Drosophila melanogaster: one gene and its partner. The protein of the gene in region 1 interacts with the protein of each later gene in a pairwise test. Each region holds a gene or a part of one and is shown on either strand. Other genes may lie near its edges.

The links.
Region 2: the proteins of CG3909 (region 1) and CG4563 interact in a two-hybrid assay, tested with the Drosophila melanogaster proteins (one large-scale study listed by BioGRID).

The regions. Positions count from the first base shown.
Region 1 is NT_033777.3:10,041,548-10,045,261, reverse strand, and holds CG3909 (uncharacterized protein), read right to left. Parts: upstream 1,993-3,714; 5' UTR 1,916-1,992; coding exon 1,913-1,915; intron 1,860-1,912; coding exon 1,568-1,859; intron 1,497-1,567; coding exon 1,258-1,496; intron 1,201-1,257; coding exon 1,013-1,200; intron 959-1,012; coding exon 685-958; 3' UTR 656-684; downstream 1-655. Other genes in the region: CG11722 (uncharacterized protein), read left to right, coding at 45-136, 203-449, 508-635.
Region 2 is NT_033778.4:24,451,315-24,455,069, forward strand, and holds the start of CG4563 (uncharacterized protein), read right to left. Parts: upstream 1,727-3,755; 5' UTR 1,692-1,726; coding exon 1,542-1,691; intron 1,475-1,541; coding exon 1,080-1,474; intron 1,014-1,079; coding exon 897-1,013; intron 839-896; coding exon 1-838.

The sequences.
Region 1 (3,714 bases):
ATTAAACACCCTTGGAGTGTAATGCTTCATTTTCCCCATTACAGTGGATCCCAAGTTCGTGGACAAGCTCAATATGAAAGACTCCAGCTTGGACGGACGATTGAAAGACGTTTATGTAACCTCGCAGGATCGATTTGTGGGTTAATACCTTAGAAGGTACTTTCGACCAATACTAATATGGAACCTGCTATATGTTCCCTAGATCAAGCGAGTGCAGGAGCGCCAGGCAGCTGAGGCGGCGGCGGACAATGTGGAACAGCGACCACTGCCCCTGGAACGCAAAACGCCGGATGATTTTGAGTACGGATATCTGGAGCCCAACCGCATTAGCCCCGGTCATTGCACACTGCGCCAGGCGCTTAAGTTCATCAATGACCACCAGTTGGATCCTGAATCCTGGCCAGCCAAGAAGATAGCCAATGAGTACAAGCTTAAGGAGCCTCTAGTTGGTAAACCTAAAAGAAAATGTGTTCTCAGAATACCTCAGTCTAACTTTTCCCTTTTTAGAAAACATACTGCACTACTTTAAAACTTTTAATATGTACATACCCGACCAGAAGTACAAAGACACGATGCTAACTCAAGCCACGCAGCCCCTTCTGCGGGTTAAATCGAGCTCGGAGGGTAATCCGTAAATAAATCATTCTTGTTCTTTGTTTTAAACCTACGCTCTATTGTATGAAATCAAACAATGGCATTGGGCGGACAGTAGTATATGTTCAGGGACTTGTCCTCAGAAGCAGAGGCCACCTTGTCGTTTCCGGGGCTATATCGGACGCCCCACACCTGATCTGTGTGCTCGGCGAACGTGTGCAGGCACTTGCGTTCCGAGGTGTCCCATATTTTCACGCTGTTATCACTGGAGGAGCTGGCAAAGTGTTTGCCGTCCTCGGAGAATGCCACGCACAGCACCCAAGATGCGTGCCCAGATAGGGTGCCCACAACGTCGGAGTGGGTTCTAAAACGAGGAGATAGTAGTGCCTGAAAATGTCATAGGTGTTAAGCCACTTACACATCATAAAGCTTCATGTGACCATCATCTGAGGCAGTGAGCAGCAGCTGCGAGTTCGGAGAAAAGCAAAGGCTACGCACTGGCATCGCGTGTCCTTCCAATGTTTGCACTACCTTGCCCGCGGCCACATCGAAAATGGTAATGATACCATCGATGGCTCCACTGGCAATGTACTTGCCATCGGGACTCTAGAATAATACAGCTATAGGATTCTCAAAATGGGTTATTTACCAGATAAAGCTTACGTAGGCAATGCTAAGCGTGTATTTCCCATTTTGGGCATCCAATGTCTGCTCTGCCTTTCCGGTTTCCACACTGTACATGGAGATTTTGCCGTCGTTCAGTCCGGATATCACATATTTGTTGCAGGGTGAAAATTGCACCGTCCAGAGATCAACAGGCCCAAAGCTAAGTAGGTGTTTCTTGTCGCCCGAACGGGCATCCCACAAACACATGGTGGAGTCCAGAGAACTACTGGCAATGGCTGGAAGGAAGGCGGCACCATTAATTGATGTCCATTTCTCTATCTCCCAAGTACAGAATCTTTCAACCTACTCTGTCCATCGGAACTGACGGCCACAGAAACAACTCCCAGGGCATGTCCTTTTAGTTTGTGGCGCAACTTTAGGGTGTTGTCCTCCTGCAAGTCCCACACCTTTACCAAGTCATCCAGTCCGCCGGTGACCAAGAAATCCTTCGGGCGGGCCTCCTTCTTATCGAAATCAAAGGGATTCTCCTCGGGCTCCACGACCGCGTCATCCGGATCTGAGGCCGCAGTGTCGCGTCCCCAGGTGCACGCCCATAGCTGACTGTCGTGCGCATTTTCCTCTTTATGAAGGACAGAAAACTAGCGGAAAAAAGGGATGTATAAAAGGCACAGTTCGTTAAATATCTACTTACCATTTTAAAATGCCGGAAAAGTGTTTATTTTATGCGAACGAGAGCGATCAGCAAATTAGCTGTTATCGATAACAATGGTTGACGTTAGAATTAGTATTGAAAAGGGAGGTTTACAGTGGGTCAAAACTGTTATGCTGAATATGTTTCAATGTGAATAAATTAAACATGGAATTCTTTATATAAATGAAAGAAATAAAGAAGTATAAAACAAATTGACGTTTTTAAAATTTTTTCACAGGTAATATTATATATAACAAAATAATATTTTACTTTATTATATCTTTATTATACTTATTTAGGTAAAAAGCTTAGTTTTTAAGTAAACATGTTATATATTAAATTATTTGAATTGCTATTTATTGTTTTGGTATATTTGCCCATATGGCACACGGCATAATACCACTTTCCCGCCATGGTCACACCATCGGCTTATAGTTGCACTCCCGGCGCGGCCACACTGTTTATAGCCGTCGAGAACCGAGGAACGAACGTCGCGTTTTAAAAAACAAATCCCCAAACGACTCGGACGCGAGATCCAAGCGACTGGCGAGGAAAAGTGTAAGTGACGGGTGCAATTACGTGCCCCACGGTGCAGCCATGCCCGGATCTACCAGTGCGGTTATATAATGCGGATATAGTTATAGTTCTTAGCCCCTCGCGATACGATATCAAAAACAAAGGAACGAATAGGACCAACGCGTGTGTTCTGCTTTTCAGTTTTCGGTTCGTTTTCGATTTTTTTTCATTTTGCTGTCGTCGCCGCCGTGAATTCGAATATGTATGATTTTCTTCTATGGATCCGCGTGTCTGGAATATATTAATAAACATAAACAGTGAAGCCTCGTTCGTTCGTGTGTGTGGGGGCGGGTGTGCGTGAGCGTGAGTGCGAGTGTGTGTGTGGTTGTGCATCAGCATATTATTTATCTCACATATCATATCTTTCGACAAAATCGAAAAGATTCGAATGATTCATTCTTGTGGCAGCAGGACTCGCCGATTTGTGCACTAAACCGAAATGAAAGGCATATAGTTTTGCTGCACTTTCCATGTGTTTTTCGTGGTGTGTTTGTTTTATTGATTCCCACTTTCCCGTTCCCCGTTCTCCGTTTTCCGCCCAGTTTCCACTTCTTCCCCTCCGTACAACATTCATATTCGCGCCTGCCCCCACAACTTCGTTTCCGATTTGGTGTAAACAATAACGGCAACCGGTTTTCGCGTGCAACTTTATCTCCCTAATATCGCCATTCCTCTTATTCTTCTTCTCTTCCTCTGCTCACTTTTGTTTCGATTATAATCGCAATTTGCCGTTTTCAAAATGATATATGCAAACCCTTTCGAATAAATCAAACAGTTCCAACTGAATTTGTAAATTATCAAGGTGAGTCGCCAGCCGGGGATCAATAATGCTATATTATAAGATGAAGTGGAAGATTTGCATGTTTATGTAATCTTATCGGTATTTTATGTTAATTTTCTCACACATGTTGGGATTCATATATCTTAAGAGAGGTGTATTCATTTCATAAAACATTCTTTACTTGAGATTTGGTATATGAAAGTTAGTTATTCGTTTATTTTAACAATACTACAGGCAAACGATGTCTTCTAGGGTATGAAATGGTCCTATAGAAAGAAAGGTAGTTAGGTAGTAGTAGTGACGCTTAAAGATCCGTAAAGTTAAATGACTCTAAATCCCACAGCTTTGCTCCACTTCCATTCGTAATTCCAAAGCAAACCCATCACGGTTGCTCTTAGCCTTCGCACTAATGTGACTGGAGGATAAGAATAAATGTTTGCCCTTA
Region 2 (3,755 bases), on another chromosome or scaffold:
CTTGTAGTCCACCACCACCCGCTGGGCCACGTGGTCGATGACCTTCTGGTCGGCGATCTCGGCGCCCTCCTTCTTGATGATCAGGGCTCCGGCGGCGTCACCGTATCTCGCATCCCGCACGCCTACCACGCACACGTGCTCCACCTCCGGGAGCTCGGCGATGATCTGCTCAATCTCGTTGGGCCAGTAGTGCTTGGACTTGTACTTCAGCAGGTCCTTCTTGCGGTCCACCAAGTACAGGTTGTTGTCCTCGTCGAAGTAGCCCAGGTCGCCCAGGTTGATCCATCCATCCTGGAGGGTGGTGGCCGTGTCCTCCGGGTTCGAGAGGTAGCCCTCCCACTTCAGGCCGATGTCGATGAGCACCTCGCCCGTCTGATTCACGCCCAGCTGCTGGCCATCCTCGCCTTGGATCTTGATCCTCATGCCGGGCGCCAGTCTGCCTACAGAGCACTCCAGACTGTGGTCGATGTTGATGGTCACCACTCCCGTCTCCGTGGTTCCGTACGAGAACATCACGTAGGTCTTGGGCAGCAGCTCCTGGGCCCGCCGCAGTAGTGCCAGGGATATCCATCCTCCAATCACGAAGGCTATCTTCAGGGACTCCAGTTGCTCGCTGGTGGCCAGTGGACTGGTGAAGAGCTCGTAGGCCTGCCATGGCGCCATTGCCAGGCAGGTGACCTTGTACTTGCTGACCAGGTAGAGAGCCGTCTCGGCGCTAAATGTCCTCCTGGATATGATGCGAGTGAAGCCACATGTGAGATTCATTACGGTAATCGAGAATCCGGTCATCCAGTCGATGGTGGCACTGGTGTACAGCACATCGGTACTGATGCACAGCCTGTGGGAAGAGATGGGTTAGACTGGCTAGTCTGGGAGCTTTGAACTTGAGAACTCACGAGTTGGTGGATGCAATGTGGCGGTGGGAGAGGGCAACTGCCTTGGGCAAGCCAGCAGTGCCGGAGGAGCACAGGACCACGGCGATCTGGTCGCCACCAGTGGCCAGGGAAGCAGGTCTGAAAGATATTTAAAATAATGAATTTATTGAAATTTAAATTGATTGAAGATCTCAAACTACTCACACATAGATCTTCTCGGCGGGATGGGGCTTTACGAGGTCCTCGATGCTAGTAACGCCCTCCACTTTACCCGTGAGCGTGATCAGCTTGGGAGACCACTCCTTGGTGATCTCCTTGATGCGGTCGTAGTCCGGACCGTCGATGAACATGATCTTGGGTTTGGTCACCGAGTAGAGACCCTGTACGATGGCCGGCTCCCTGGAGTAGTTGACGGCGTGGAAGGGCGTGGCCTGGAAGAAGCAGGCGGTGGCCACGGGGATCACGAAGGTGCTCGAGTTGGCGATGATCCCGACGCGGTCCTCCTGGGTCAAGCCCTCGCTCTTAAAGAATAGGGCAATCCGGGTGGCGTAGGCCAGCATGTCGGCGTTGGTCAGCACGGTGCCGTCGTCGTCGGTGATCTACTTTTATATAATCGAGCTCATCAGATTCCCGTCTCCGCCGGCTACCAGTCACGCAATCGTTTACCTGAATCACATTGGTGGGCCAGCACCTCAGGGAGTTGAACACGATCTGACCGACCGAGGTGTTGTGGTCGTAGACCGTGGGCCGTGGCGGGCCACTCCAGACCTGGGTCTCCTTGTTGAAGAAGGTGGGGAAAACCGCCTTTGTCGGCATTTTGCTAGTCCAATTCTAAATCTCTACTGAGTGCCCAGAGCCGTTACGTTGTCTTTTTATATCGCCCTGAAGGGGCGCTTATCATATCAATTAAGCAATTAATCGCTACACTTGCCGAGTCCAAAGTTTGGCCAAAATAAGTCGAAGATTTACGGTAACATCAGCTGATTCCCGAGGTGGGCTCGTCTAATCTAGCCGGAGTCACTTTTTTAATTTCCGCTCCAGGAGGCAGTGACTTCCGTACCACTTGTCCCATGGGAACACCTTTCAGAGGCAGGTGAGTAAGCAAACTTCGCCGGGGTCAAAAGTATTAATTCCCGAACTTTTGTCAGATAAAAAGCTGTACTATATTCTTAGAAAAATATTTAACAGATAGATTCTGACGAACGATATCTTGGAAACTATAAGGGATTACCTTGCAAGTACAATATTTTTCGTTCTAATTTGATTGCACCTGGTATTACTTGGACGTGGCATAAAAAATGTATTTTGTGATTGATTAACAGAGAATTGCGCTTTATATTGTAAATAGTTTTAAGCTCGTGATATTAAATATCCTTTGAAGTATCTATTTGACCCGCCTGGAACGTTTACTTTAAGTTTTCAGAAACTATTTCGCCAGCTTAACCTGAACTTAAATGTTGTTCTGCGCCGCTTTCAAAGGACTCTCCGAAATAGTTCCTTTTAAATGAACTCAACGCCGGCATTTTATTATGGCTGTAATAATTTCGGGGAGGGCCACGCCCTGTTGCGCTATTTGCATTGTGTGTCGGCGCCCCAAAAGGGGGGCTGTACCTCGAAAAGCTCCGGGAGTTCGGTTGCATGCATATATTAACATGAAATTACAGACAGAGCGGCCAAAAGCGAGCAAAATAGTTTAAAGTGTTTCTGAATTTGTTTGGCAAAATGAGCAGGACCCGGCGAAATGCATAAGCAAGGACCCGGACAAGATGCTCCCGACGATTGGCATGCAAATGGGGGGTGCCACCGCAGGAAACTGCATCTTAAGGCTTTAAGTCCTACGGACTTTCGGGCAGGACGAGCCGCCGTTCCGAGTCAGCGAGTGCGAGTGCGAGTGCGATTGCGATTGCGATGCCGATTTGATTGGCGGTTTTGGGCGCCAGTCCTGGCGGGTTACCCCAACGTGGTCTCCTTGCCCACTCGGGCGTGACACGAGGCGTCAGTTAATAATGTGCGTTATAATGAGATGCCCCCACCTCCCAGGTGATTCCACCGCAAGTATGTCGGGTTGACGAGATGCTATGGCCGTACTTGTGGATGACTAATCCGACGGACAGACAGCCAGTTTGTGCTTCAAGTGCCGGCTTAATTAATTAACATCACTCGAGTGCGAACTGTTACATAATTGAATTAGCAGTCGATGGCTGATAAGGAAATACTATTATTCCACGGCTTATCGCCCTCCGCGTCACTAATTCTTTCTGAATGAAAGTGCACCTGCGCTTGGGGGTTTCACCTGTGTGATAAGACTAAAACTTTGTTGCCAGGATGGCGAGGTAACTGTGTCTCAAGTGCAAATAGTTGCATAATACGGCGGACTGTCGATGCCTGATAAGAATACTATTTCACTGGAGATCCCTATTGTTTTCTGAATGAATATAGGCTTCCTTGATGGGGTTCCAAATTTTCGATAAGAAATTAGTGGAGAAACTAATTGGGCCCACTGATATCTAGTTTGTAAGCAGGCGGCTTATCAGCTCCAACACTGCCCACCGTGAGACATCATTTTGCATTTGATTTTAATGGTTCCCACAATTGGAATACCACCTCTAGATAATAAGTCATTTTAAGCTCGAAGTTAATTATTAATATTCACTGCAATATAGAGATATATACTTAGATCCTAGATACGATGGTCACTTTCATAAACTATAGTTTCCGTACTTTTTTCGCACTTGCTTCCAACTGTCTGGTATCAGCGGTGTGCGGTCAGTGTCCCTGACCTTAGACACCAATCCCCCGGTGGCTCGGTGGAAAACATTTGGATTTGCGTTCGGGGCCTTATCACGCTTATCACACTTGTTGGTGGTCCGCCACGTGCTC